Diceros bicornis minor: one gene and its partners. The protein of the gene in region 1 purifies or fractionates together with the protein of each later gene. This does not show direct contact. Links are inferred from orthologs where the notes say so. Each region holds a gene or a part of one and is shown on either strand. Other genes may lie near its edges.

Region 1 (7,568 bases):
TCTTCCAGGGGCAACTTAGGTATAACCAACTGTGCATCCCTACCAGACAGGAATGGTAATGCCTAGCTTCTCATGATGGGACTTGCGGGTAGGGGGCAGCAGGGCAGTGACTCAGTCCAACCTGAGCTGCATCAGCACCGATGCGGGCAGCATCTGTTGTCAGTTGCTTCTCTTGCTCTTCAACCTCAGGGTCAGGCTTGGTTCTCAGGTGGTCAGGAACCACCTCATGGCTGAAGACAGGCACTCGTCCTTCAGTCTGCCGCTGTAACACACAGATTTTATTGATCCTACTATGCACTCCAAGAAGATTCAATCTGGCCTGCTATATAGTTTCTTCCACAGGCAAACACTGCATTTTCAGGGAAAACACAACCTGAGACTTATAATATCTAGCTTCCTAGGACACTATTCTCCTCACTCCATCCTTTATTTCTGTCTCCTCACACCTCTGTCTCTACCAGACCTGGGGGCAAACTCTCTCTACCACATTTTAATCTAAGAGTGAAATAGACAAAGTCACAAAGGAACATACTTTTTGCTAGAGATAGGGGTTGGAGGAGAAAGGTCTTTGCCTTGGTGACACAGGCCTCAGGTTAATTCACCACTATTTGGGAGTGGCTCCCCCAACTCCAGAAGGACAAAAAGCAAGGCCTCCAAAATGCAGCCCTTGCTTCTTATTGTCACACACTACTCCACATTCAGAACTTCTAGAATAACCAACCAACAACTGTGCTCTGAGTCCTCATCTAAGAACTTAATTCCCCAAGTTGTACCCTTCTCCTCCTCTTACCATGAGATCTTCATCTCGGTCTGGGGACAACACCAGAGGGATGATGACCTGGTTACGGAAGAGTGGTGTCTTTTCATGCTTCAAGACCTTGTTCAGAGTGTTCAACTGTCCAGAGAGCAAGGCAAAGCTGTCCAGGACAGAGGGCCTGGTGGTGGTAAGAGGGTGTCAGAATGTTCCCAGTAAAGCAGCCTAAAAGGGGTCCTTCAGACTAGGAATACCCAGACTCACCCCAAAAAGATTCATAGCCCTGTGGCTGGGCTGGGCAGGAACCAGACTGGCTCACAGGGATTACGTGGTTAGGAAAGAGGGACACACTTCAGTTTCTGACATAGATGGAGAAAAAAGGCAGGTCATTATTTGAATGGGGTGAGGAACAGTGGCAAAATAGGAACCATGGCTACACTGTTATCACTAAAAATTCAGAAACTGGGTAAAAGCCTCCTTTCTAGCCTGGAAATAGGATCCACACTCTCCGAGTAGGTGGACCTAAAAGACTCAGCACCATCTATGCCAAGAAATCCAATACGAATACTGTATTCCTACTATAGTGGGAGGATACACTGAGGGAGGACCTCCTCCTAGAAAAGTCAAAGGGTGAGAATCAAAAGCTAGAAAGAACCTGGGTTGGCAAACTGGGCACCTCTCTACTTCCTTGCAGTGGAGGCCCTAAGCCAAACTCCACTTGTTATATGTTGGGAAACCCAGTTCTTTCCAAACAAAAAAATAGTTGCTAACTGATAAATGGTTACATCACTGGAGATGTCCTATCCACCAAGAGTCCTGGCTCCCCACTCATGGAGCCCTCCCCAGCTTGCTCTGGCAACCCTTACCAGGTCAGCCGGTCATACTCGTTCTCCAACTTGTAAATGAAACCTCCCAGTGAGTTCTTCAGATCAGCCACTTGGCTCAGCAGTGCATCTAACGATGCTTCAAGCTGCTTCTCCTCCCTCTGCACCAATAGGAATAGGTTGGTTACCCAGACGGGTGTGAGTATGACACACACAGAGGAAGGCTGAAATGCCAGGATGACAGTGTGCAACACCAGTCAAGTAACACAGGATCTTGTTGGCATAGAAGAGACAGGTTTTTGTCTATCTTTGGTATTTGGGTTATAGACAGCATCAACCCTTAGACCTTTAAACCCATTCACATGACATCAATTCCTCCTGCCAACTGATTCCTTTCTTGCATCATCTCCTAATCCATGCCTGGTTTTTCTCTGTATTAGGTACTAGTGTCTCTCACTGAGAAATTTTCACGAGACCTAATGCCTTGGATTTATTATCTTTTGCATATCTCTGCAGCATATGTACTCCAGCTTCCTCTGTTCTAGAACTTGCCTTGTGAACCTGGCTGTTCTTGCCAATGACACAATCTCTGGGAAATCTGCCTACACATGAAGGTTTCTCTGAATACCGGCCTTGCACCACCACCTCCCCCCTCTTCATTTGCCCTCAGCATCTGATGTTTCAACCTCCTCCTTGCTGAATTAATCTGCACTCATTTTATCTCTGTGCCAATATTCCTGTGCCCCTCTCACAAGCTTTGTCAACCTATAGTCGTTTACTGACAGACTACCAGTGCAAGAAACTAAGACTGGTTTCTTGCACCACTACCAGCTGCAAGAAACTAAGTGACAAATGAAAGACAAAAAAATGCACATGGTCCTAAACACTAGACAAACAATTTTAAATGCTGGGGGGGGGTCTGCGACGCATTTCCTTCCCGTTTATGGTCTCCAGTTTTACTTCATTTCCTCATCCTTAACAACTATCAGGCACAGGTTGGGAAGAATGATGCAAAACCGTCTTGCAAACTCGCCAACGTGTAGAACAGGAGCCTTGATCCTTGGTTCCGCCCACGGCCTCAGATTATAATTACCTTAGCTTTCGGCCACCGCGGTCCCACAATTCTTTCACCCTTCGGGCTTCCCTCCAATTACAGATGCCCTGTTATGTCTGCATCCAACAGCGTCCATCCAACAGCCTAGGCCGGGGCCTGAGCCAGCCCATCAGTTCCCCGAGCCGTCTGCCTTGGATTGCATCTCAACCTTCCCAAATTACAACCTGATCCTTTCCCACACTGCAGCAAGTCAGTACTGCCTCCTCCCTCCCAACCTCGCCGCATCTCTGTCTCCTGTCAGCCGGGCTCCACCCCATCTCTCATCCGCGTCTCTCCCTCTCCAGTCGGCGTCGCCCCGCATCCCGCGTTCCCTCATCCATCAGCTGCGGGCTCTGCTCCCTCCTCTCAGCCCCAACTCCTCACTCTCTCCTCAGCCAGCCCACTCTCGGTCCGGTTATCCGAAGCCAGATAGCGGTCAAGAGCCCCCACCAGGCTCACCTGCATTGCGGCGGCAGTGGCGGCGGCGGCGACTTCCTCTTCCGGTTTCCAAGTCAGCCAGCCACTCGGAGAGGGCGTCGTCCACCAATCAGAAAACTCAGAAGTCGGCCCTCGCACTCATTTCTGGTTCCGGTCGGGAGCGCGGTAGCCGGGTCAGGGGTCACGAGTGGAACGTCTTTTCTGGCCCCGGCCGGCGCGGGAGGGCTGTGCGATGGCCTCGGAGCGCCCGGAGCCGGAGGTGAGAGGCGGGCGGGCGCAGCGCTGGGCCCCGAGATCCGAGGGGGAGGATCAGGCGGCCAGCGCGGCCCTGACCTCCTCTGGGTCTGGGTGAGGCCGGGCCGCGTAGCCGGGCCCTGGACCGGCCCAGCCCCGAAGGCCGGACCGTTGAACCTCCTCCCCGCAGTCCGCACTGTCCTCAGGGGCTAGAGAAACTTCGTCGCTTTGTTTTGTTTACTGAAATTTTATCCACGTCGCTGATTTGAGGGCTCTCGGATTCTTTGACCTGATAATGGTATTAACAAAACCTGTGTTTTGACTTTCTGTTGCAGTTTCAGTGGGCAGCACGGCATTAGACTGACTTTGCCGTTTTCTGCATTTCTTCACACTGGAATTCCATAAATAGCATGAATTAATTTAGTTCTAGCGCTCATGCTTTTGGAAAGCAGCTTTGGTGTCGTGAAAAGACGTTTGACTGGGAGTGAAACCTTGATCCAGTATTGGTGCTGCCGTTTAGCAATCTGTGCGACTTCGGGCAAGTCTTGACTTCCCCGATCCTGTTCCCTTCTTCGTAAAATACCTACGTTATGGTGTGTTGTGAGGATCACATGTATTAAACCAGAAAATGCATAGGAGGTATCTGTAAAGCGCTAAGGACCATGCAAGGAGCTTTGTATACTACATTGTGTTATTCAAACTTGTGCAAGGAAGGTGGCAATATCCACTCTCATTTACAGATAAAACTGAAAAGTGAGAGAGGTTAAGTACCTTACCCAAGTGCTACTCAGTTGGAGAGTAGCCGAGTTTTGGAGTTAGAAGATCCGAGCATAACATCTTAGATTTGGAAAGAATGACTCACTAGGAAAGGTGCCCAGTATTATAAAAGAATGTTTAAGTAGATGGGAAGGATGAGGATGTGTATAACGACACAAATAGTAGTCGTTACTTAACGCTATCCCATGCCGGGCACCTTCTAAGCACTTGACCAATATCAACTAATGCTCTCAACCCTGTGAAGTAGACACTATTGTCATCCCCATTTTTCAGTTGAGGAAACGGAGGCACAGAGATGTTAAGAGTAACTTGGGGCCGGCCCGGTGGCGCAAGCAGTTGAGTGCACGTGCCCCGCTTCGGTGTCCCGGGGTTCTCACAGGTTCAGATCCCCAGCACCACCGGTGCACTGCTTGTCAAGCCATGCTGTAGGGGCGTCCCACGTAAAGTAGAGGAAGATAGGCGTGGATGTTAGCTCAGGGCCAACCTTCCTCAGCGAAAAAGAGGAGGATTGGCATCGGATGTTAGCTCAGGGCTGATCTTCCTCACAAAAAAAAAAAATGTTAAGAGTAACAAGTTACACAGCTAATAAGTAGTAGAGCTAGGACTCCAAAACAGGTGGTCTGCTCCAGATCTTGTGTTCTTAACCATAATGTTTATAGTATAAATAAAAAACTAGCCACAGGATGGTAAATCTCCAGTCCATTAGGATTTGGTGTGATGAGACCCGGGATTGAATATGGCTGTAGGAAACTGCCGTATTTAAAGGAATCAGACTTGTTCACAGGGTAGTGAAATAGCTCATGCATCAGAAATATCAATATTGAGAACTCCGTGAAAGAATTTGGAGTATGTTTCATTATGAATTAAAATGAGAGGAAACAGAGGGATGTTGTGGGGAAATACAACATACCTTTTAGGCAGATAGTCTAAATTTCCAATAGAAATCTAATGCAAGCTGTAAAAATAAATTTTCTGGTAGCCACATTTAAAAAAGGTAAAAAGAAACAGGTGAAATTAATTTTAATGTATTTTATGTATTTCCAAAATGTTATCATTTCAACATGTAATAAATATAAAAAATTATGTGGTATTTAACATTCTTTTTTGGTACCAAGTCTTTAAAATCCAGTGTGTATTTTACACTTACAACACATCTCGTTTGGACTAGCAACATTTCAAGTGGTCAGTAGCCCCGTATGGTAGCAGCTACCGTATTGAACAGTGCGGATCTAAAGTAGCTTGGAGTCAAGACACATACTCCTGGGAGTATTCAGCCAAAAATTAAACATTTGTTAAGTTCTGGATTTGCATTTCTGAAAATTTTATCTCAGAAGGTAAAGGGAGTGAAGAGTTCTGCCCCTGGGCAAAAAGTGACTGATTTTTAGAGGTTTTTTACAATCCCGAGAGAGAGATAGAGCATAGTCAGATTTAAGAAATCATTCATTCATCAAATACTTAACATATTTTATGAGTGCTACTATGGACTTGGAATTGTGCTAAGTATCAGGGTGGATACAGAGCAGTGTAAGACAGACATGTTCCCTATTGTAATGGAGTAAACATTGAATTATGATAATAAGTGCTGCAAAGGAAAAATACAGAGTGAGTGAGTGTTTAACAAGGGTTCTTAACCTATTTCGTTAAGAAGTGGTTGGGGGGGCCGGCCCGGTGGCGCAAGCGGTTGGGTGCGCGCGCTCCGCTGCGGCGGCCCGGGGTTCGCTAGTTTGGATCCCGGGCGCGCACCGACGCACCGCTTGGTAAGCCATGCTGTGGCGGCGTCCCATATAAAGTGGAGGAAGATGGGCACGGATGTTGGCCCAGGGCCGTCTTCCTCAGCAAAAAAAGAGGAGGATTGGCGGATGTTAGCTCAGGGCTGATCTCCTCACAAAAAAAAAAAAAAAAAAAAAAAAGAAGTGGTTGGGTGAGGGGGATCAGGAAGCCGCCTCAGAGGAATGACATTTAAGCCTGAAGAATGAGAAGAGGCAGAGCACATTACAGGCAAAGGCAATAGTGAAAATCCTGAGGTGAGAAGGAGCTTAGAGCCTTCAGAGAACCGAGAGGAAGCAGCTGATTGTGTGGGTGCTGTGTGACATGAGAATAGCTAACACAGTACTTACTAGATATCGTCTAATACTCGTAAAATCCTCACGAAGTAGGCGCTGTTTATCCCTGTTTCACAGAGGAGGAAGCGAAGGCACAGAGAGTTTAAGTAACTTCACCAAGGCCTTATATTGATAAGCAGCAGAACCAGCATTTGATCCTAGGCGCTCTAACTCAGGGGGAGTTGGGTGAGAGATGAGGCTGGAGAAGAAGATTCTGGTTGAGCCCATGCTAGAGGTTCAGGACTTTGGCATAAATACAGAGGTAAGGAATCTTCAGACAATTCAAGGGGGAAGAAAAATCTACGTTATTTCATGGGACTCAGCACAAGGGTTGAAAAAGGCTCAAAAATAATTTGTACCTTAACCATAAAGGGACAGGTGCAAAAAACAACAAATTAATGAGATGGGTGATTTCCTTCATCCTGGTATACATGGTATGCAGCACAGTGCCTGATGATGTTTTATTCATGTTGTTATAAATGGTATGTAGGCCTCAATAAATGTTCCCAAGAATGATAAGCTTTTTCTCTCATAGTTCTGACTCCCTTGTTTAATTGCAACCACATCCTTATGAAGTAGATATTCTTATCCACATGATATCAATGAAGAAACTGAGGCCTGGAAGAATTAAGTAACTTGTCCAAGCTCACCTAGATAGCAAGTAGTAGAAGCAGATTTGAATCCAAGTCTGTGACTCCAAAACCCTGCTTTCTCTTTGCCAGACTGCTCCAATGCACCTCAGACTCAGGGGGATTAAATGTGGGAGAATTGAAGCTTCATGTGTGTGGATGCTGTGAGAACACAACTAATTCGGGAATTCTCAAACATTAAAGTAGAAGAATCACTTGGGGAGCTTGTTAAATGTAGATTCCTAAGCCCCATCAACTCTAATTGGTCTGGGATGGTGCCCAGGAATCTGCATTTTAATAAGCACCTTAGGTAATTCCGATGTAGTTGGTCCTGGGGTCCCACTTTGAAAAATACCATTCTAGCTGTTTAAATTAATTCTTAAGTCGTCTGATTCTGATAAATTACATCTTGAATGTGAAGAAAACTTAGAGATGGTGTTTTGAAAATGTAGTTGTTGAATTGGAAGGATCGTGTATAAGGGGATGTTGCAAGAAAGCTCGAGTTAGGCAAATGCTCCTGGCTTCAAGAAAGTGGATTCTATAAGAACTGATTGATGAACTAGACTTTAGTTTGGCCTTGGACAGTCAGTCTATCATACAAAATAACCTTTGAGACAAGGTGGAGAAATGGAAGCTGTACAGTAGTGGAATTAAGCAGCCTACTAACTAATAACCTGAAGAAAGTTTTCTAATAGCACAGTGCTCGGCTATACCCTC
Region 2 (7,743 bases), on another chromosome or scaffold:
AAATTTCAGCCGCAGAATATATAACTTAATTTGAAAGTAAATCAATACTAGAAACAAATTATTTGATCATCATCTTTTTATAAAAGATTAAACACCCACAAATTTTATTTTACCAGGACTAAAATGCATTCAATTACATTTCACTGACATAAGATCAAAAGAACCTCATAAATACAATGCTATCTTTTACCAGAGCAAGGTTATAAGAAAGAAGCCAAACCGAAAAATATTCCCTCTGGAAAATAAAAACTGTTTTAAGTAATTTTAAAACTCTCCTGACATTTGATCCATTTTAAAAAAAGTTCATCCTATAAACAAAATCATTAAAGGTTGCTGGAAAACAAGTCCCAAGAATTACAAATAAAAAACTATTTTTTTCCAAAATGCAATGCTACTTTTCGGCTATCACAGATGACTAAGAAATGTTCCCATACTATACATTTAGTTATTTTTAAATTGCATAATTCTTGTAAAATTATTCTTAGCCTAAATTAAGACCTGACCATGAGGTATATAATGTAGTTAAAAGTACCACTTGCCAATATACAATATTATAGCTTTTATACAACATTATAGCTTTTAAATAAAATATAAAATCAAAGTTAATAAAATTTGCATATTTATTAGCTTAAATTGGTAATTTATGAAAACAGAACTGGCTTCTCTTAGAAAGATTAAAAATAATTTAAAGTCACCAGAATTTTATAAAACAGACAACAGACTGGTCAAATGTACTACAATGTCTCACCTCATGGACGTGGGGATTTTATGAATATGCCCAAAATTACATAATATTGGGGGATGGGAAGATGGTTTAAGGCTTTTGAAAAATATTGTATGGGAAGTCAAGGATAATTTTTAAATATATATGTTATTACAGAGTAATACTTCACGACAAATATAATTAAACAACAGAGTCAACAGTATTTCCAGACGCTGATTTCTCAAATGTCACCAGACAATCTATTCCACTAAAAAGTACTTTTAAATACACGCAACACCCAGGGTATCAAGTTTTCAAATCCCTACCTTTTGCAGATAGCTGTACTGCTTTACTGCTGCATATAAGCAATGAAATGCACATTCCAAATTAATTAGAATTACCATCTCCCTCTTGGAGCCCATTTTAAGTTATTTTAGAAAAGTATCTCAGTAAATCTAAGAAAAACGTTGACTAAATATACACTTCCTTTCCCAATATCCAGAAAACTAAAGTATTTATAAATATGGCTTCCCCCGCCAAGTAACTTACTACAGCTTTATGAATGGTTTCATCTCTTTAATGCTAATATAGTTCTCAACATACACTCCTACATAACTGGAAAACATAAGCAATTATTTTAAACGTTAAACAGCAGCTAACCAAACTAACAGTGATGTTCAAGTAAAGCTACTTTGTTTATAATAAAATCTAAAGATTACATAATAACCTTTGACATCATCTTTCCAGCAATTTTCTATAGTGTCAAAGACAACAGAGGCAACACCCGTTTTTCACAAGAGGAAAACAAGGAGTTAATTAAATATATTTTCTCCTCAACTAAGAATTGCCTCCTCTTTTGTCAATATTACAAGACACTCATCTACTGACAAAGGAAAAATGAACACTTCACTTGCCCGTTTAAGAAACTAAACTGGGAGCATTACCAGCCACAGACTTAATCAAGTTATTTCTAGGGAAGAATATCTAAAGCAAAGAGACTATTTAGAGTTCACTGCCAGCTGCTAAATTTCGGGGGAACAGCCTGAACAAGATAACCCCTATTTGTCACTCGCCTTTTTCCCCACCACCCACCCTGCACCAAAGCCCCATTGTTCTATGTAAAACTCACAGCTAATGATATCTAAACAGCAATCGCTACACTCATATTGCAGACGATCACTACGAGGAACTCTTCAGAACCACATTTACTTGCTGCTTTCTTTCCCCCAAGTAAAATCCAAATTTGGTAATAAATCAATCACAAACTGGTGACGGAAAGGATCACAGCTTCCCTTCCAGACTGATGGATGTCACTCCAGAGAGGGCTGAGGAAATCCCCATGTTACCATAATAAATTGACCCCCCAAAATCATCTAAACTGACGTTTTATAACGAATTTTTAAAAACATCTAGTACCGAAACCCTTGAAAAGTATACAGCCCGTAAGGTAGAGGCTCCTTTTCCCTATGAGCCACCAAAGTAGAACAGAGACAGCAGCACGCAGGGTTTCGTGCGGGTTTGGATCCCTCGTACACTTCCTCCCCAAACCTGCCAGGCGGGCACAGACGCGGGTGTCGAGGAAGTGGGTGACCGGCACTCCGGCGCCCCGCTCTCCCTCCGGGCTACCTGCCTCAGCCTGCGGGAGCGCCGCCCAGCGCGGACACCGGCACAGACACAAACACTCACCCATCCTTCCTCTTGGCTTTGTAGACGTGACCATAAGTGCCTCGGCCAACTTTGCAGCCCTCGTATTCAAACAGGTCCTCGACCCGCTCCCGCTCGCTGCTCAGCTTCACTTTAAAGTCATAGTCCATTGTCACAGCCTCCGAGGCCGGGGAGCTGGGTCGGGGGGTCGGGGGGCCGGGATGGGGACCGTGGACGCAACGGCAGCCGCAGCCCCCGGGAACCCGCCCGCTCTACACCCGGCGGCCGCAGCACCAACCCGACTGATGCGGCAAGCGCAGGAGGAGGCCCCGCGAGAGCGCCGGGGACATCCAGGGGGGCAGCGGGGCAGAGGCCGGCCGGGGGGAGGAAGGGGAGGTTCCCCCGGGCGAAGGAGAGCGGAGGGACGAGGGCTGGGGGTGGGGAGCGGGTGTCTCTGCCCTTGTCCCCGCGGGCTCCCGGGGCGCCGGCTCTCCTGCTCCCTCCTGCCGCGCGTTGTGCTCCCGCTGCGAGGAGCGGCGGGGCGGCCACGGCGGGCTCTGCTCCTCTCACGCTCGCACTCACGCCTCACCCTCTCTCACACACACACGCTCACACTCACTCACTCTCTCACTCTCCCATACACTCAAACAGAAAGGCAGTGCGGCACAACAGCCGGTACCTCCTCAGAGAGACCAGGAGGGAGGGGAGTCGCGGAACACGGCCGCGGCTGTCGCAAAAACGTCGCGAAGGCTCAGGCTGCCTCCGGCACTCCCTCCAGCCCGTTCCGCGGTAGCTGTCCGCCCTCGCCGGCGCCGGCACCCAGAGGACCGTGTGGAGAGAGCCAGATACCTAGTGCCCGAAGCTGCCGCCAAACGCACCACGTGGACCGTCCCGACGGTGGCCAGAGCCCCAGACTACAATGCCCAGAATGCACCGGCCTCCGCTGCTGCCGCCCCTTCTAGACTCCACCCCTCCCAGTGGTGATATGGGGAGCGTTGCATAATGGGATTAGTAGTCCAAGGTGAGATTAGTTTCAATCACTTAGGGGAAAAATTATTTTTTTACAGCGATATCGCTAGAGTCTGATTTGGACCATAACCTTAACCAAAGAAATTCACGTGTGAGGAAGGCTAGTTTGTATTAGAATCCCATTTTGTGCCACTGCCGAACTCCAGATTTTAAAGGGTATTATCATTATGCAAAAAAAGTCTATGAATTTGTAAACAGCTCACAGACTATCGGTTGGTACAGTGTTCTTGTTCACAGTCCGATCAGGGCTGCACAATAATATCATCTTACTGACGCACATTACAAACATCTATAAAAAGGAATCAATGACGAGTGTCCACGCTCCTGCTAAATAGTGTTACTCTTGTGACAGATGACCATCCGAAATCTTCCCATCCATTCAGAGGGGACATTATTTTGAGTACAGGCACCACTGCCTGTAAGACCAGCAGTTTTTAGCCATGATTACAGCAATGCCTCTAAATCCATGGAAGCTAATTTGTTAATAATTTTAAAGTAGGAAAGGTGTCAGCTGGAGGGATCCAGATATCTTGATAATAATCCCTCATTTTGTCTTATCTCTCTTATTTACATATCTATTTTTTGTTTTTCGATTTTATATTTGTATTTATTTTACATTTCCCCATTGCTGCCGTTTCCACTAAGGCTCCCCACTCCCAAAAGGACATATAATCTCTTCCACTTTTAAACTCCCATACCACTTCTTTTTCACCTTTCCTGCAGTGTTTATCAAATTGTGTTTTGTCTTTTATTTCCTCTCCCTTGCTAGATTATAAATTCCTATAGGAAGTCATATTTGCATCTTTCGTAACACCTAGTATCTTGCCTTAATTGTGGTGCACAGTAAACAATTGTTGAATTAATAAGTAAGCATGTTTATGTCAAAAATATCCATGTGCGGGGGCTGGCCCCATGGCGTAGTGGTTAAGTTTGGCGCATTCCAGTTCAGCAGTTCAGTTGGCAGGCTCGGCTCCCAGGCGCCGACCTACCCCACTCCTTGTGGCTGTGACCCACATGTAAAGTAGAGGAAAACTGGCACAGATGTTAGCTCAGTGCTAACCTTCCTCAAGCAAAACATGAGAAAAATTGGCAACCGATGTTAGCTCAGGACTAATCTTCCTCAGCAAAAAATAAAAATATCCATGTATAGATGATGATGATGATGATACCATTTTATGAAACATCCTTGAAAGGACTCTTTTCTTATATAAGTTTCCTTGGAGAAAATAGTGACTTCACCACTGGTTTAAATGAAGTTGTTTGTACCTAGTACATTAAATATTATTTAGCGGTTAGTACACTGACTGGTTAGGTGGGCCTGGGTTCAAATCCTGCTTTGCCATTTATTAGCAGTGTGTCCTTGGACCCTCAGTTTCTTTCTATACAAAATGGAGATATAAAAGGCCCCAGCTTAGAGTAAGTGCACAACAAAGGCAAGCTTTCATCAAGGGGATGTGATGTGGTTCTATTCAATGATGTAAATTGGGTGATTCTCTAGCAGAACAGTTCCTTTGCTTGGTTAAAGAATTAAATTTTTTCCTAAATATGGATTTAGAATAGACTCTTCCTGGAAAAAATATTTTGTGTTTCTTGAGGGATGTCTTTTTTTTTTTTTTTTTTTTGTGAGGAACACTGGCTCTGAGCTAACATCCACTGCCAATCCTCCTCTTTTTTTTTTTTTTCTGCTGAGGAAGACTGGCCCTGGGCTAACATCCGTGCCCATCTTCCTCCACTTTATGTGGGACGTCACCACAGCATGGCCTGACAAGCAGTGTATCGGTGCGCACCCGGGATCCGAACCCTGGGCCGCCAGCAGAGGAGCGCACACACTTAACCGCTACGCCACGGGCCAGCCCCTCAATCCTCCTCTTTTTGCTGAGGAAGATTAGCCCTGAGCTAATATCTGTACCCATCTTCCCCTATTTTATATGTGGGACGCCACCATAGCATGACCTGACCAGCAGTACCTAGGTCCATGCCCGGGATCCAAACTCGTGAACCCAGGCCACCAAAGCAGAGCATGTGAACTTAACCACTATGCCACCAGGCTGGCCCCATGAGGGATATGTCTTTTCTCCAAGTATTTACTCATAGATCTTGAGAAATGAAACCACCACACTGGAGGAAAGCTTGTGAAGAAGCCTGGAACTGGGCTTAGCCCTGCACTGGGGGTGTCCCCACCCCCATCTCCTGCACCACCTGCATATGATATTCCCGAACACTGAAGGTCCCAAACTTCTTAAAATGTACTTTTGACTACTGTTTTGACTGAATTCATTTTGTGGATGCCGGTAAGAATTCTCCCTGAAGAACTTGAGTGTTCCTTTTTTTTTTAAATAAAGATTGCATATACTTAAGATGTACAACATGATGCTTTGATACACATATACATGGTGAAATGATTATTATAGTCAAGCTAATTAACAGTGTTCTTACTGTCAGTAATCCTGGGGCAGGAAAGGAAGCTGGCCTTTGGGGAAGAGAAAAGCCTGCTTTTCTCTCTGAAGCTAGGGTGAGAGTTAGGAGTCTGAACTCCAGGTTGGGGGAATATGGTGGTGTAAGGTAAGCTGGCCCCTTAACACAGCGTCAGGATGGGGAGCTAAGAAAGAGATAGCCACTAGGGCCTCTTACACAGGAGCTACCTTGTATTTCAGTCATTTATTTTATGCACTTGAAAAAAATATGTCCTTTAATAACTGAGTCTCTGACTTATCTCTGTATCTCCTACAGTGCCCAGCACATAGTTTGCATAATTATAATTAGAATGTTTAATTGGATCGATTTCTATAAAGATTGAAATGGACCTTAATACTAATAAAGGGGGGGTGGTGCAGTCATTTTAAAACATTTAACATCTTGCCTCAGTCTTGCCTCTGAAATGTACTTTTTACAGCGTGCAAAAGCATTTAGTGCTTCGTGATATACTAATGGAAAAGCCCATGTGGGTCTTCTCAGAGCTGATCACTTCCTGTCTCTACAACTTTTAATTCATTTTTCGTAGTATCAAAGCATGCTTTAAACAGAAAGTATCTAACCTCCCATTCAGCAGGTGGAATATTCATCATCTTTATCATCAGAAAGCACATATTAAGCAACTGCATTCGAGTACAATGTTAGACACAAGAAAGAGCAAGTTAGGTCAATAACACTCCAGCCTTTTTTAATTGTTCAAAACAAATATTGATGCAAAAAGTTTCCCAACTAACTCTATAAGCATGCAGAATACAATTTAGAACTTAAAAACAACCAGAACCAAAAAACACTTTCAAAAATAACTTTCTTTTCTCTACTTCATCATGTGAATCTCATTTGTGCTTATAGACTCGTTTCCTCCACACAACTAGAAACAAGACCACTAATAGTTGCTGAATTTTATGTCAAGCAACACCTGTCATTAGAGAAGAATTGACTCTGTTTCTCAAGTTCAGTGCTAAAAATCCCAGGAAGGGCTCTAGTCCAGCTGAGTCAGGGGCCCATCCTGGGCCAATGAAGTGTGGCCACGGGGGCAGGGTCATATAAAAATATGAGAGCTGCTTCATTCAGAGAGATGTGGAAGATGAGGGTAGGGAGCCCGCAGGAGAAAGGAGAAAGCTCTAAGAACTAAGAAGGAAATAAAACAGGGCAATGCGATGGAAAGTGGGACCAAGAGGGGATTACTTTAGATTGGGTGGATGGCCAAGGACTCTGAGGTGATTATGCTTAAGCTGAGATGTAAATAATGAGGAGCAAAACCTGCTAAGGTGAGGCAGCAGAGTGGTCCAGGTCGATCAGATGGACAGCAAGTGGAAAGGCCTTAAGCCAGGAACCAAGGAGCAGAGAGAAGGCTTGGGTGATAGAACTGTCATGAGTAAAGGAGGAAGTTGTGTGGGATGAAGACAAAGAGGTAGGCAGGGACCAGATTATATAGGGTCTTTTAGACCATACTAAGGGGCTTGGATTTTATTTTTAGGGCAATAGAAGGCCACTGGAAGGTTGTAAGGAGGGAGTGACCAGATGTGATTTATGCTTTAAAAAGAATATCCTGGGTGTTGTGTTAAGAATGGATTGTAGGAGAAGATTGAGAGACAGAGAGAGAGAGAGAGCGAGAAAGAGAGAGATGGGACTTGCTGATCAGTTGGATGGAAAGGAAGGACTCAAGATAACTCTTGAGGATGTTACCACTTACTGAGATGAGGAAGACTTCGAGAAGAACAAGTTTAGGAGAAAAAAGTAAGAGCTCCATTTTGGACATATCAAACATGAGATGTCTCAGAAGTCTAAGTGGACATATCTAGTGGGCAGGTGGATATGGGAGTCTAAAGCTCAAAAGAAAGATCAGAGCTGGAGATAAAAATTTGGAAATCACCGGCCATAAGAATTGAGTAGAT
Region 3 (8,059 bases), on another chromosome or scaffold:
TATCTCCTCCTGTCCCAAAAGGTCTGGAAACCCAGCCACGGGCCTGAACCACGAAGACCAGCCACACAGCACTCATGGGCAGCGAAGGTCCTATCCTCTTCAGCATGCCAGTTGCATAATAATTTTTTTTGTGTGTGAGGAAGATCAGCTCTGAGCTAACATCCATGCTAATCCTCCTCTTTTTGCTGAGGAAGACCGGCTCTGAGCTAACATCTACTGCCAAGCCTCCTCCTTTTTTCCCCCAAAGCCCCAGTAGATAGCTGTATGCCATAGTTGTACATCCTTCTAGTTGCTGTATGTGGGACGTGGCCTCAGCATGGCCGGAGAAGCGGTGTGTCGGTGCGCGCCCGGGATCCCAACCCAGGCTGCCAGTAGCGGAGCACACACACTTAACCACTAAGCCACGGGGCCGGCCCAATAATTTTTAACTGCAATTTTGCAACTGGAGTTAGTAGTCAAGAGTCGAAAGACTTTCAATAAATCCAATAAAGAAAACAAGGCAACTTCTAGAGAAAGGGAGGACTGAAGAGTGAGAAAAAGCCAAAAGGCCATCATGAGAAAGAGGTTATTTTTTTAAAAAGGATTAACAGAAGGAGATAAGGATGAGGCTTTGGGGGAACAGCTGGTAGAAAGGAAAAAAAAACTTGGCTAACAAATAATTTGAGTGAAAATGACTGAGTAAAGAGATTGGAACAAATATGATATCACAACAAAAATGAACCATTTTAGTAAAAAACTAGTTCCTGGAATGGATTGCCTCTCATTTGTATCATATCAAAAGCGGGTGGAGGTCTGGCGAAACATAGTAAGCAGGAATAAGGACTAAAGGAGAGGACTTAAGGAGAAAATTCTGAGTCTGAAAGAAATGTGGTTGAATTTGTGTGCTGAAATACCCCATCAAGAGTGCTTCTGGAAATGAAACCACTGAAACAAGCGGGTTGAGAAATGGGCATAATGGAGTATCTTGGAGTAACGACAGAACAGTTGAAAGGAACAAAAAGAAATAAATTTAGTTGAGCTCAGAGAGAGAAGAAAAGCAATCTCAAGGCAGATCTGAAGCAAAGGCTTTGTTCTGAGGCGTAAGCATGCGTCTCGCTGGAGGGAGCTGACTCTTGGCACGTGCTGCGCTACGTTTGGCCTGAATAATGATTGCTCCCTATTTTTTTTTAACTCACAAAAATCAAAGTATCATGTAGCTTTTCCACCCTGCCCGAGGCTCCAGATGATCAAAGAAAAGGATGAATCATGTGTAAGGACATAGCTTTGACAAAGCCCCCGATGGTTCGATGACATGACCAGTTTAACAATCCCCGTGACACTTGTCTGACAGAGAGATGGCTATTTTTGCACCTATCTCCAAAATAGGAGCTATTTAAGCTCCTAAAGCTAAAGCTTAAATAGTGCTTACTCTCAAAGCTTTTTACAGACATGAATTCCTGGAACCCTTACAGCAGCCCTATCAGGAAAGGGCTGTTATGATTCCATTTTGCAGATGAGGAAACTGAGGCACAGGAAGGTTAAATGACTTGTCCAAGGTCACACAGCCAGAAACTAGCAGAACCTGGATTCTAATGTATCAAACTCCCACGTACCCACTTCTATATTTGGCAATTGTCCATATTTTTCCTTTTTGCTTTAAGTCCTCTCACAATATATAAAAGAAATATAACATTACACAGAGAGTTGCAGTGCTGGTTATATTCCCATCCCCTGTCCCAGGAATGTGTAGTAAACCTTTCAGTTCCTTTTAAAAACTTTTTTTATATATGTCTTATATCTATGGATGAGGTATAGTGTTATTTTTCATGCTTCAAATATTTACATAAGTAGTAACATACTCTATTTCTCTTGTGCAACTTGCTTTTTTCCTCTCACCATTTTGATTGTGAGTTTTGTCTACAGTGATATGTATTCATCTCTCAAACTGCACCATCCAGTTCTGTAGTCTCCAGCCACATGTGATGACTGAGCACTTGAAACGTGGCTATTCAAATTGAGATGTGCTGTAAATGTAAAGTACATACCAGATTTCAAAGACAGTATGAAAAACAGTAAAATACCTCTCTAATAATTTTTAATATTGATTACATGTTGAAATAATTTTGGGATATAATGGGTTAAGTAAAACATACTAAAATTAATTTCACTTGTTTTTTTTAATGTGGCTACTAGAAAATTGAAAATGACATATGTGGCTTGCATTTATGGATCATATTATATTTTATTGGAGAGCTCTGATTCTAGATCATTCCTGTTAACTGCCATCAGTCCGGGTTTTATTAATTGGTGAAGGAGCAAACCCTAAATCTGAATAACAAGAACTAATATTTACTGTGCACAGATACTTTTCTCCATGATTTGTATGCAATAATGCATTCGGTCCTCCTGGGAGGTTGCATGGCTATGCAAAGTGGGGTTGTGCAGTTGTCCAAAGTCACACAACTTCAAACAGACTGAGCTGGGACTCAAGTCAGGCAGGCAGGCTCCTTGGCCAGAACTTGTAACCACCAACTTGCCTGGAAAGGCTCTATGAGAAACAGCCTAACTCTGCCTAAGAAAGCAATAACCAGATAGCTTAACTTGGTGGCATCTCTAACAATATACCGTCCTTACATATCAGTGGACCCTTTTTGACTTTTAACAAAGCGGTTATGAACAGACACACATTTGTTGTGGCAATTTTAGCTTTAATGAAACCAACACAGGCCAGATATTATTTTTCTGACATCCGCTTGCAATGCTGTAGAGTCAGCTTTACGCTTTGCCACTAATTAGATTAACTATTTTTATGGCAAATTGTCAATGCACTCTACTTGTTCATGCTTCCTACGATTCCAATTTGTTTTTTTTAGCCATATCTATTTATACCTGGAGTGTTTTTTCTTTTTTTAAAAAGAGACGTCTTCATTATCCTGCTGATGATAAAGCTGGGGTTTGTAATTAAGTTACAAAACACACTGGGAGGGAAAAGAGGACGTGTCATTGCCATGGAGATATTATTGATGAATATCGGATTGCTTTTTGAATTCTGAATAAAAATCTAACTTTTACCATTTTGAATCATAAAGTTACAGAACTGGTTGGAACCTGAGGTCTCCTATGTGTTCGTTAGGACCAGAGGCTTGGTGTCAAGCAAGCCATGTGACCCAGAGCCAGTATCTTAACTGCTGTAAGCTTCAGTTTCCTCATCTATAAAAGAGAGATACTAACATCTACTTTTAGCCCTCTTTTGTAGATTAAATGAGATAAAGACTGTGACTCTATTCCTTGTCCCTATTTTTATTCCACCGTAGTTGTGGTAATCACTATTATTATTATTACTATTATACCATCATTTTTTTCCCCAGATGACTCCAAGGGTGTACTCTTTTCAAGCACATCTGTCCTATCCCAACAGGCCTTTCTCCTCCATTATCTAGCAGGACTCTTAAACATTTCCCTTAGGTGGAGAGGTCCATGGTGGGCAGGAAGAAAACCCTGCAGCCTTCTCCCTCCCCTTGCTCTCCTTCTGGAGTGCTCTGGGCAGCTCTTGCTGAAGAACGCTGCACTGAGGCCCATGACTAAAGGGCGTCTACAGCACACTCTCCAACATCTACTTCCCTCTATGGTCTTGCTCCCCTAGCACCTGCCTCCATAAACCCCTCCTGATGCATCCGAAAATACTAGCATTGATGCTTTCCTTGGGATAGGCCACGTTGCTCTTAAGTGCTACTGCTCATCTTGCTACCTGAATGTGTACTTCCTCGCCTCTGTTAAAGGCCCAGGATGGTAGACTAAGGAAGGATGGGGCTCTCCTAGCTCACATCTTCTTCCACTCATTAGCTAAGCTTAGGATCAGTGTCCCCACTGCTCAGAAATTTATTATACAGCCCCCATATCATACTTGTTTTGAGGAACATAACGACAAATCTACCAAAAGTAACCCGCTTTGGCCTAGGATCCTAGGGGGTCCTCATGTGAACTAGACCTTTGGAGGTCAGCCATGTATCTGAAGTTAGAAAGCAGATTAGGCTCTGCCATGACCCTGAACTAAAGATTATAGAGGCGAGGCGGCTGGGACCTAGGGGCTTAAGGAAGTCGCCCACAGGTATGGAGAGCAGCTCCAGGAGATGTATATTAAATACTGAATTACTAGTTCCTCCCTACCCAGCCCCGCGGAGCTTTGGGGGACGCCGTTTCTGGTGTCTGCGTCCTCAGGGCTGGCACGCGCTGTGGCACTACCGCCCGGCCAGGGTCTGCCGCCTCTCCCCCTGGAGGCTCCCGCGTGGTGCAGGCGCTGCAGGTCCTTCTCCGCATTCTCGACGCCCGCAGGGCCGGCGCCTTACACATAGCAGGCGCCCGGTGACGGCGGTCCACTCCGCGCGCGGTTCAAGTTGGTTCTTCGGGCGGCCTTCTCCCAGGGCTGGGCCGTGCTGGGCCTTATTCATCGCACGCTTCCTGTATTAGTTGCTTTTGGACCCTCGTCGTCACGTGAAAAGGAATAAGATGTTATTTCTGTAATAAATCTCCTGACTATTTAATAATTTAGCTCTCTCGACGCAACCAAACCCAGGACACCGCAGACTCGCCGACCTCCTGTTACCTAGTAACAGCCGCCCCGCCCCGTGCCTTTGCCCCGCGTACGCCCTGGTGCGCATGCTCACAGCCTTTCTCCGGTTCCCGTCCCCGCGGGCGCGCGGTAGTGACGTAGGGGCAGCGCGACGCTTTCGGCGGGCTCACCGCTCGGGTCTCGCTGGCTGTCTGAGTGACCGGTCCTGAGCGCCATGGCCTCCGCCGGGGTGGCCGCCGGGCGACAGGCTGAGGATGCGTTACCGCCGTCGGCCGAGCCGCCGCTGCCCGAGACGAAGTCGCTGCTGCCTCCGCAGGCACCGCCGCCGGTCGCCGCGCCTCAGCCGCAGCGGTCTCCGGCGCCGAGGCCTCAGTCCCCGGCGGGCGTGAAGGAGGAGGAGAACTTCTCCTTTCTGCCGTTGGTTCACAACATCATCAAATGGTAAGGGCTGGAGAGGACCAGCTCCACACGCCCTCCCGCTTCTCGTGCGGGCGCTCGCGGGTGCGCCCCCGTTTTATAGATGGGGAAACTGAGGCCGGGGGGCGAGGCCTCTCCCAGGACCGCACCGGCTCGGCCCGTGAGTCCGGCAAACGCTCTGAGCCCTGGCGTTGCCGGACCTCGCGACGGACGGCCTGGCGGTGTTCTCGGAGCCACAGCGCTGCCGTGCCGCCCGAGTGTGCGTCCTGCTGGTCACGAGCGGCTCGGGCGTCTGAGCCTCGGCTTCTCCGTGACGGGGGGGCGCCCGCTGGCTCCCCTTCTCGCAGAGCCGACGGTGCCTCGTGTGCCCCGCCCGACGCACTGCTGAGTGCTGGGGGCCTGCGGAGGAGGAGGGGCCGGCTGACCAGCCCTTCTCACGCGTCTCCTCGGCTGGAGGGAGAGGCAGACGCGAGCGGGAATGACCCGTAGTTCAGAAACGCCGGAGGGGGGAGGGTGGGAAACGTCGCAGACAGCGAGACACAGACGTCGCTCCACCAAATCGACCCCTGTAGTACTAACTGTGTTCTCACATAGTCTCAAAGGGGGGATTGTCATCCTTTTGACCAGCCTTCAGGTTAGTCTCAGTTTGCAAACTGACCCTGTGAAAGAAAAAAAAAAAAGAACACAGTGAAGAGTCTTGCTGATCCCCATGTTAGCCTGAATTGTTTTTACTGTTTTTTATATCCGCACGATACGAGGTGTAAACTCCTAGGCTCGTAACTCTTATTCAGCTGTTAAAAACCAAAACAAAGTAAATGAAAACGAAGATTACTGTTACGGCAACATTCAGGTGAACGTCACTGTGCTCTTGGGTGTTTTGCTAAGATGGAATTTCTGCTCACGACAGGGAAGTGGCGTTCATGGCCCAGCCTTTAAGTGTAGCCGGACTACTTCACTTGATGTGGGCTGACCCGATTCTTCCCCCACTTTTCAGACAACACAAAGCCTTTGTTCTGGCGTTAGACCCTGACTTCATGTGGCTTCACTCGGGGTGAGCATCCTGTTTATAGGGTCAGGCAGACTCCGGTCTGCTCTCATTAGCCTGTGCTCAGCAGGCAGCAGTTTGCAGCGGCAGTGAGATTGCAGACACAGTTGCGGACGCCGACCCTGCAGCCCCAGCGCAGTACTGGACTGGAAAGGGGCTGTCCAGATTAATGCAAATACTCTTACACCGGTTTTAAGAAAAATATGGAAGAATGAAAGCACAAAATGTACACATTCTCAAGGACGGTTCTTGGAGCCTGCAGAGTATGTTCTCGAGCCCCAGTAGAGCAGTTGAGCTGGGCTGGCCTTAAAGAAGGGGCAGCAAGGTACCCCTGAGAGAGCATGGCTTTGCAGTCAGTCTTGCATTCAAGGCTCATGCTGACGCTTGCTTGCCTTGTAGTCTGGGAGAACATGTAACCCTTCTAGGCCTTATTTTCTTATCTCTAATATGTGAATAATAATAACAGACCTCAAAACGATGGGTTCAGACTAGAGCCGTATAACGTACTGGCTGGGTGACCTTGGACAAACTACTTAGCTTCTCTGAGCCTCTTTTTCTCTTGTGAAATGGAACTAATAATACTTAAATGGTAAGGTTGTTGTGAGGTCTACTCAAGAGCATCCTCCTGTGAGAGATGGTGGGTTGATTTCATGTTTGTCTCAGTTTCCTCTAAAAGGACAGTGAAGAGGTTTTTTTTTTAAAGCATAGACCCAAAAAGAACAGGAGAGGAGATAATTGCCACAAAGCAGATGGCCAAGGGCTAACCCACCTATCAGCCCCTGGTTGGCAGAAGCACCTGCCTTTGACCGTGGCTTCCCCCCACGTCTCAGGAATTGGCGTTGCCAGGGACCTCTGGAAATAGGGGTGACGGGGGACTAAGAACAGGAGGATTACTTAAAAGTCTCCTTAAGCAGCAGATCCCCACAGTCCTCTCTCCTCACTTGAAGCAGACAGGTGACTGCTCTTCTTCCATCTTGGCAGGCAATTAAAGGGTTGCTCTTTCCCGAGATTTATTCTTTGGAAAGAATAAGCCAAAGATTATCTGGACTCGGGGGACACCAGGCACAGTGCAGGAGTTCAAGGGAGCCATGTTGGAAATAGGGAGTAAGAGAAAGTTCACACACTGGATATTGAGACCCCACTCTAGCCTTCTTCCCCTACCTGGCTTCTAGACTGGCAGCCAAAGAGAATAGATGTACCTTCTCTGGGGTGTCTGACCAGCCCAAGAGAAAAGTCATTGGGGGCTCCCCAAGAAAGACCACAGTCAGTTCATATGACCCGGTAGCCAGGGTCACTAAGCATGTGAAGAAAACCCCTAGTAAGAAAGACAGGACAAAACAAGAGCAGAAAAAGCCACTGGGAAGAAACAGTATGCATAGAGAGAAGGAGAGATGCTATCACCATGAAAAAAGGCTAGGATCCGATTTTAAAATATCATGTCTAGGTATGTGTTTGAGTTTATGGGCTAATGAGGGAAGGAGACAGACTGATGAGGGCAGTGATGAGAGAGGAGACCTCGTGAAACCTGGAGGAGTCAGAAGACTCCTTAAGGGGTGATGCCAACCACGAGTCTTAAATTATGAAAGGAGAGAGGGATGGTGGGGAGCCAAGAAATAGCATCAACTCATGGGGGTCGACTCTCAGTTTGGTGGGGTTGGAGCATAAATCCAAGGAAGGGAGAACTGGAAGGGTGGGAAGAACCAGCATAGGGAGGACAGCACATCCCTCTCAGGGAGTGAGGTTTTGTCCTCTGAGGGATGGGGAGCTAGGGAAACTTTCAAACTGGGGAGCCTTGGTCAGATTTGTGCTCGAGATGGATGTGGCATCTCAGCGGACAGGCTGGGAAGCCAGGTAGGACGCTGTCCTGGCAGGCCTGGCGAGAGGGAATGAGGGCTAGGACCGGCTCAGTAACCCAGGCCCTCCGTCTCCTCCTCTCCCGTAGCTTCCCCAGTGGCCCTTTTATTATTTGTTTACTGCTTGTGCAGGGGGTGAATAAGAAAGTAAAAGCTGAAGTGAGTTTAGTCTTCCTTGTTCTCATAAAGAATTCA
Region 4 (7,290 bases), on another chromosome or scaffold:
AGGTTTTTAGACATACTAGCCTATGGAATCATGTTTGTCTGAATCTCTTGACAAAAGAACTTTTTAACAATATTCCTTTATCAATCAAAACAAAAAGGGTTTGAAACTTGAGAAATATGGTCTTGAGATTTGTAACCATAAACTGTTGTGTGTGACTTTTTACTAATGTTGAAAGAAAAACTGTATTACAAATTATTGCTCATACTAAAAAGCCTACAAATATCATGAACTTGTTTTCTTTTCAATGACTTTTAAGCCTGATTTTTTTAAAACATATAGTAGAGTCAAAAGACTCCCTTCCTTCAAAACAAAAAGATGGAACAAATAATATTTTTATTAAAGGTGAAAAACCCAGATGTAAATCTTGCATTTCCAGTCTGTTATAAATTTATGTAGCATAATTAATATAGCCTAAGTTAAAGTCATATTTCAAGGGAAATAACATTCTAAGGTTTTGTAAACTGTAGTACTAAATTATAAGCAGACTTTTCTAATGTTTTATGTTACTTCTTCCAGCATTCTAAACACCTGAACAATTTTTTGCTTATATACTACATTACATACACCAGAATGACTTCTCTTTAACATATCCACGTGATTTCTCTCTTGCTCCCTAAAATAGCATTATACGTTTTTCTGAGTTAACCAAAATAAATTCTGGAACGAGCTAAACTGTAATTTACCACGATCAGAGTGTAAAATCCTTTACTATGCAAATCTGTATCACAGTTTAGAACCATCACTAAAAACTTTTTGTTCTTTCAAATGGCTGGTATCAGTGAACATAAAACTAATCCCACTACCAACCCACAAGAGATGGGTGTTTATGGTAAAGCCTCAAATCTCAACTAGACCCTTGGCCCAAGAAAAAAAGCTTCATAATGATTTTCCTTACATGTAATATAGTGATTTAAACGAATGCTTTCAGATCCTAAAAGGTTTTTTAAAAAACATATTATTTTGAAGATACACAAACTGATCTTACTCTACTAAAGAAGCTCTATTAATTCTAATCAAACAAATTTCACTCAAGAAGGAAGTGTATTCGAATCAAGAACTTTATTAGAAGGGGAAATATTCCAAAAGAACAAATAGAAGCAGGAATTAAAGTATCTGGTTTTTGTTGTAGCCCATACTATTCAAATACAATTCAGAAGCAGAATTTTTAACTTTTTCTCAAAAGTTGCCTGCTAAAAGGAAGCTATTTTAACAACAAAAATATTTAAATACATTTTTAAAATTCCAGGTCAAGTATATTACAAAGTTAGCATGAGGATCATGAAAAAACACCACGTATGATTTGTAAGGCCAATGTCCAAATAGGAAAACTAGATGTGCTTTCCCCAAATATATCTGATAAGATTCCCACAAGAATACAAGTGTAACAAGCAGAGTGGATATTCCAAAAACAAAATACAAGTTAATTACAGTACCTCACATTCCAAGATACTCATGCAAGGACTCCTGGCAATTAACTCAAAGAATTATGAGAAAAGTTTAGAAACAAATGAATACTATGGGGCCCGCTGAGTTATAACAAGAAAAAAATTATTTGCAATAATAACAATCCTTTACACTTGTATAATACCTTCTAATTTTCACGATACTTTATGATAAAACAATTTACAGTTGTGCTTTTTCGTTTCCTGTATGAAATTAGCACGCACGCACACAACCCCCTACCTACTTTGGTCCTGGAGTTCATAAATCAACCGTATCAATTACAACAGAGTGCACAGAACGATAAGCAACACTGCAAATCTTACTAATGTCATTGTGGCTGATATTCAGTTTATTTGGAAATGTTCCGCTACGATCATAAAAACTCTCTTCCACATAGTTTCGCCGTCTTGAGAGTCTAAGCGGGACAGGCAGATGTTCCTGGGCTCCCTAACTCTGGGGGAGGGAAATTCCTGCCAGGATGGACAGCGAGGTGACCGCTGGTTTAAACCTACTCTTCGCAGGCCGGGAGCTGGTTCCACCTGTCCTGCAGTGGAGCCCGTCTGCCCTCCAGGACGAAGGACAGGCGTTCTCAGTACAGTACCCAGCTCGCCTCCTCCAGAGAGAACAATCAGTAAGGGCTTTCTAAGGGGTTCCTACGGGTCTCCCTCGACTCTCAGGAAAACAAAGGTTCAGGCCCAGCTCTGTGTCACTCCGCATTCCGTTCTGGATAATCTAGGTGCCCGAGGAACCCCAGCACGCAGTTATTTGGCAGCAGATGCAGAGGACATAAGAACACCCAAGGTGGGGGAAATGAGTTGCCAGAGAACTAGGCGGATTCCGAAGTTCTGCGGGCAAAACGCGGTTAGTCTCGCAGGAGGTCCTACATTCGGGGGAAGGTGTGGAATTCAGAATGTGAACAAGCGAAATCCGGGGCGGGGGAGCAGGGGTCCAGCAGTCGCCGGGCATGCGACAGGGACAGAAGGGACTGCACCGAGGGGCCAGTGGCTGGCCGGCCCCAAGGGCGGAGGTGCCCAGAGGATCAGACCCGTGAGGCTGGCTAGGACCCCGGCGCGCGGCCGCCCGACGGGCTCCTCGGCGAGGTTTCAAACCGCCGCCCCGGGAGGCGCTCCGCCGATTGGAAGTTGCACAACGACCGTCACCAGCTCAGGGCCGGAGCGGCAACTCCTCGGCGGAGCTCTCCCAGCCCTCCGCGTCTCCCCAGGAGACCAGACCCCGCAAACTCCACCTCCCACCGAGGTCCCAACTCCAGTCCCGCCGCCAGCTCCGCGCACGCGGAGGGCGCCCTCCGGGACGGACCGACGCCCCCCAACTGGGCTGCGCCGCGGGAGCCCGAGGGGCGCGACGGGGCCGCGCGGAGGGCGGGCAGAACCCGAGTCCCTCAGAGTCCGCCCCGGGACGCGGCCCCGCGACCACCTCCGCTTCGCCCCTCCAGCACGGCCCGACCGGGCTCCGACCCACCCATCCCGCGCGGTCGCGGGCAGGGCGAGGACCCGAGCGAGCCTACTCCCCCCGCCCCTGCTCTTACCCATCTTTCCGCCTCGCCTTGTAGACGTGCCCGTAGGTGCCGCGTCCCACTTTGCACCCTTCGTACTCAAACAAATCCTCCACCCGCTCCCGCTCCGCCGCCAGCTTCGCCTTGAAATCATAATCCATTGTCTGCTTCCCCCATAGAGGCACCGGGACGCGGGGGCCGCCGCCGCTCAGTCCCTCCTCCTCCTCCCCCCGCGACCGCCGCTCCACTTCTCCAACAGCCGCCTCTCGGGCGCGCGCGCGCCGCCCGCCTCCCCGCGGTCCGCCTTCAGCAAGGGACTCCTCGGCGGCAGCAGCAACCACCTCCTCCACCTCCTCCTCCTCCTCCGCGGCGGCGGCGGCGGCGGCGGCGGCTCCCGCAGGCACCCCCAGTCCCGCCTCCCCCCTTCATTTCCTTGTTTTGGAACCTGGTGGGCCGCGCCGCGGCTTCCTCGAGCTCATTAACGAACCAGCCCGCCCGCCCCGAGGTCGCAGAAGCTCCTGGGAAATGTAGTTCCGCAGACCTCAACAGCAGCCGAGTTTTACCCGCGAAAGAAATACAACACCCAGGTTGCCTTGGGCCGCTACAGCCTCGCCTCCACAAGGCATGCACGCCTGCGCACTAGGGCCGCCCCTCCCCCTCAGGTAGCGCCGCACTGCCAGTTCCTGTGAAGGTAGATAGCGCAAAGTTGCAGTGTGCTTTCTGCGAGTCTGTGGGAGCTGGTGGAAAAACGGCTCTTGTTCTGGTGTGCGGGAACTACTGCACCGTACCCCTGAGCGAGGAGGAGGGTGGAAAGTATTTAACAACCGCCCAGCCCACCAGTTTGCTCCAGTGGTTTGAGAGGCGAGGACTGTGGTTAGGACAGTTGTACTGCAGATTGTTGTTTGTTTTTTGTGGCAATTGGTCCGCCTGTTGCCCCGCCCCCCCGTCCAACCGCTCATTGGCGGAGACTGGAGAATGACGTTCTCGTTGGTGCGTGGGTATCCCCAGGGTTTGGCTTCTTTCCCGCTCTTGATTGGTAATTGCTTGCGCTTGCTTCTTCCTGATAGGTTAATCTTTTTTCTTTACCAAAACCGTATTTCAAAAACTGAACTTCCAGCGGTTTCCTAGTTCCAGCATCGGTCTGAGAATATGTAACTTTTTTTTAATTAATTTATTAAATGTGCTTCTATAGGGAATCAATATTTCTGTTTGTGCATATTTGGTATGGCATCTTCATATTGTTCCTGGCCAACAATATTCTGTAAAGTGTATTTTTGTGTGTGTGTGTGTGTGTGTGTGTGAGGAGGACTAGCCCTGAGCTAACATCTGATGCCAATCCTCCCCTTTTTTTTTTCCTTGAGGAAGACTGGCCCTGAGCTAACATCTGTGCCCATCTTCCTCCACTTTATATGGGACGCCACCACAGCATGGCTTAACAAGTGGTGCGTCAGTGCACGCCCGGGATCTGAACCTGTGAACCCTGGGCCGCTGCAGCGGAGCGCGCGAACTTAACGACTTGCGGCACCGGGCCAGCCCCAGAATATGTAACTTTTGAGCCCTAGCTGCCAATCATCCTTTTCTTGGCACTCTAGACGTAGTGTCCTGCTAGCATCTGCGGTTCCCATAGCCAAGCTTTGACCATCTGTCTAAGGACAATTAAAGCGCCTGGAGAATGCAGCATTTTAAAAACAATCATTTGAGTTGAATTGTAAAGGGTTTTTTACGGTCTATGCATAATGGTGACGTTCTCCTAGAATGTTTAAGCGAGTCTCCTTAATCAAGGCGAACATTGATTCATTTCATTATTACACGCATAAAGTCAGGTGCTTGGGATACAATCTTAAACAGGATTGGTGCTAGGATAGGGCTTTTATACCACACTGAGTGGGAGGACAACGAGGGAATGGTCGATTCTACCTGAAGTGGTAACGAAAGTTAATAGTGACCTACCTGCTTGCTAAGTTTTGGAAGAAACCTGGAAAACTAGAAGGAGGAGGGGAGAGGATCTTTTGTTTACTATGACAGTAAGTTTCCCGGGAAACGTCTTCAGATCTTGAAGTCAATCCAGAAGTATCTGAGTTTCTGTTATTTCAAGGCACTATGATAAGTGCTGGAGATATCAAATGAAAAATTTTTTTTTTCCATCGAGGAACTAAAACTTATTGAAGAAATAAACATGCGAGCAAATCAAAAATAAACTGTATGGGTACAAAAAGTCAATGGTAGGATAGGAGGACTTCTAGAGGAGTCAGGGTAGGCTTCACAAAGGAAGTAGATTTGAGCCAATTTAAAGAACCTCATTTGGAGGACAAGTGGGGAAGTGGGGAGCAGGGAATTATTTCAGGCAGAATGGCATGTACATACATCATGAGAGAACATATTCTGAGAAATACAACTAGCTTAAATATTATAGGTCAAGGCAGGGAGAGGTGATGGCTAAGAAGAGACGGGAACAGAAGTCAAATTATGATAAGCTATATATGCCAAGCAGAAGTTGTAGACTGCATCATTCTGTAGGCAGTAGGAAACCATTAAAGACTTTTGAGCTAAGGAGTAATGTAATCAGTGTTGTGTATTCAAAAAATCCTTCTGACAACAGTGTTTGGGGTAGATTGGAGGTCAGTGAGAATAGTAAAGAAGCTATTGCGTTAATACTTGTAAAACACAAGGATCTGAACCATGGAGTAGCAATGCTGATTATGAGGAAAAGGTAGATACCAGAATTATTTATGAAACAAACTCAACAGGACCTGATAATTAAATAAATGTAAGATTAAGGGAAAGAAAATAATCCAAGATGACTTCGAGGTTTTGAAATAAAGGAATAGGAGCAATTTTTAAGAGAAAGATGATGAGTGTGACTGGGGCACGTTGAATGTGAAGTGCTATGGGGCATCAAGATAGAAATAACAAGAATGCAGATGAATATTTTTACCTACCAATAAGACATGTGGCCTAAATGTATAGATTTGGAAATCATCAATGTATGACGGTGGGATGTGGAGAATATTTTTTGGTGTGTTGCTATTTTTAAATAAGGAGTTTTGCATTCATTGTATCCTCAAAATATCCCTATAAGGTATGTTGTATTATTCTTCCCATTTTACATATGAACGAACTGAAACAGCTAGTAAATTGCAGAGCCAGGGCTTAATGAATATGTACTTGGGAGTAAATGGAAAGTGGGAAAATGTGTTAGTAAAAATCAAATATAGATTATGAAAATCTTAAGTGAACAAATCAAAAAGTTTGACCACACCTTGTGTTACCAAGGATAGGGGGAAACAGACACTCTTTTACATTGTCAGTGGAAGTATATATTCACAAAATATATACCAATATATACATTAGATTTTGATCCTTGAAACATCTATCAAAATTACATAGTAGTATCCTACAATTCTACTCCTTGTGGTGGATGCTGTGATGTGCCTCCCAGACCCCTCTTCGGGACTAAAGGATGTATTCCCTCAAGCTGCTGAGAATGCTGCTCCAGACAGCCTGCAGCTGTCAGCCCTCTTCAGGAACTTCCTTGACTGAAGAGCCACCTCACCTAGGTCATGCCATTTTCCTAGAGCAACCTACATCCAATGACTGATCAATGCAGGGATATAAAGGCCCAGACCTCTTACCCCACTTCAGGACAACTCTGATGGGTCATCCTGTCTTCAGAACTCCCTATGGGGTTGACTGAGGCCGTCACTGAGAATGCATTACAGACCAACTTTTCAATCTCCCCCACCCTTCTTTCTTCCTTTCTCTTCCAGAGGTATTGATCTCAGAAACACTCTGTAATAAACTGATTACATGTTAATCTCCATCTCAGGGTCTGCTTCCCCAGGAGCCCAATTTGTGATATTCCCCATGTGTGCAAGATGGAATAATTCAAGGTGATTCACTGAGCATTGTTTCTAATAGGAAAGGCCTGGAAACAACAGAAATGTTCATTAGAAGGGGACTGGACAAATAAATTATGGCACATCTATCAATGGATTATTATGCAGCCCTAAAAATAATGTGAAGGCTGAATAATGTGAAATATGCTTCTCAGATCTCCTCCCTGCAGGGAGGCCCCAGCTGCTAAGCTCTGAATCTACCACTGCATTTGGTATGAGGCCACACTCCCCATGGGCTGCTCCCAGCCTATGGCTGAGCATAGCAGGATGCTACAGCAGGTCCATTCCTGCAAGATGCAGGATTCCTGTGTTGGGTGACTTTGGCTGAAGGACTCCCCAGGCTTAAGCCTGTCTGAACCTTTCTTAGAGCTACGTTGTAGTCTGAGTCACTGCCTACCCAACCCTCCTTCCTTCCCTCTCTCCTTCACAGGGGTCAGA

Evidence for each region.
Region 2: the proteins of MED8 (region 1) and CDK8 purify together in Homo sapiens (affinity purification with mass spectrometry; 7 studies listed by BioGRID and IntAct, counting the BioPlex papers as one, with this or other methods). This does not show direct contact. The link is inferred for Diceros bicornis minor from reciprocal best matches to the Homo sapiens genes MED8 and CDK8.
Region 3: the proteins of MED8 (region 1) and MED9 purify together in Homo sapiens (affinity purification with mass spectrometry; 5 studies listed by BioGRID and IntAct, with this or other methods). This does not show direct contact. The link is inferred for Diceros bicornis minor from reciprocal best matches to the Homo sapiens genes MED8 and MED9.
Region 4: the proteins of MED8 (region 1) and CDK19 purify together in Homo sapiens (affinity purification with mass spectrometry; 6 studies listed by BioGRID and IntAct, counting the BioPlex papers as one, with this or other methods). This does not show direct contact. The link is inferred for Diceros bicornis minor from reciprocal best matches to the Homo sapiens genes MED8 and CDK19.

What each region holds. Positions count from the first base shown.
Region 1 is NC_080752.1:6,335,701-6,343,268, forward strand, and holds the start of MED8 (mediator of RNA polymerase II transcription subunit 8), read right to left. Parts: upstream 3,191-7,568; 5' UTR 3,137-3,190; coding exon 3,131-3,136; exon of another isoform or gene 3,067-3,130; intron 1,740-3,066; coding exon 1,621-1,739; intron 936-1,620; coding exon 791-935; intron 263-790; coding exon 122-262; intron 1-121. Other genes in the region: KICSTOR complex protein SZT2, read left to right, coding at 3,342-3,368. UniProt on the Homo sapiens protein: Component of the Mediator complex, a coactivator involved in the regulated transcription of nearly all RNA polymerase II-dependent genes.
Region 2 is NC_080748.1:9,635,679-9,643,421, reverse strand, and holds the start of CDK8 (cyclin-dependent kinase 8), read right to left. Parts: upstream 3,021-7,743; 5' UTR 2,518-3,020; coding exon 2,390-2,517; intron 1-2,389.
Region 3 is NC_080757.1:945,600-953,658, forward strand, and holds the start of MED9 (mediator of RNA polymerase II transcription subunit 9), read left to right. Parts: upstream 1-4,709; 5' UTR 4,710-4,763; coding exon 4,764-4,990; intron 4,991-8,059.
Region 4 is NC_080762.1:24,558,220-24,565,509, reverse strand, and holds the start of CDK19 (cyclin-dependent kinase 19), read right to left. Parts: upstream 3,269-7,290; 5' UTR 3,118-3,268; coding exon 2,990-3,117; intron 1-2,989.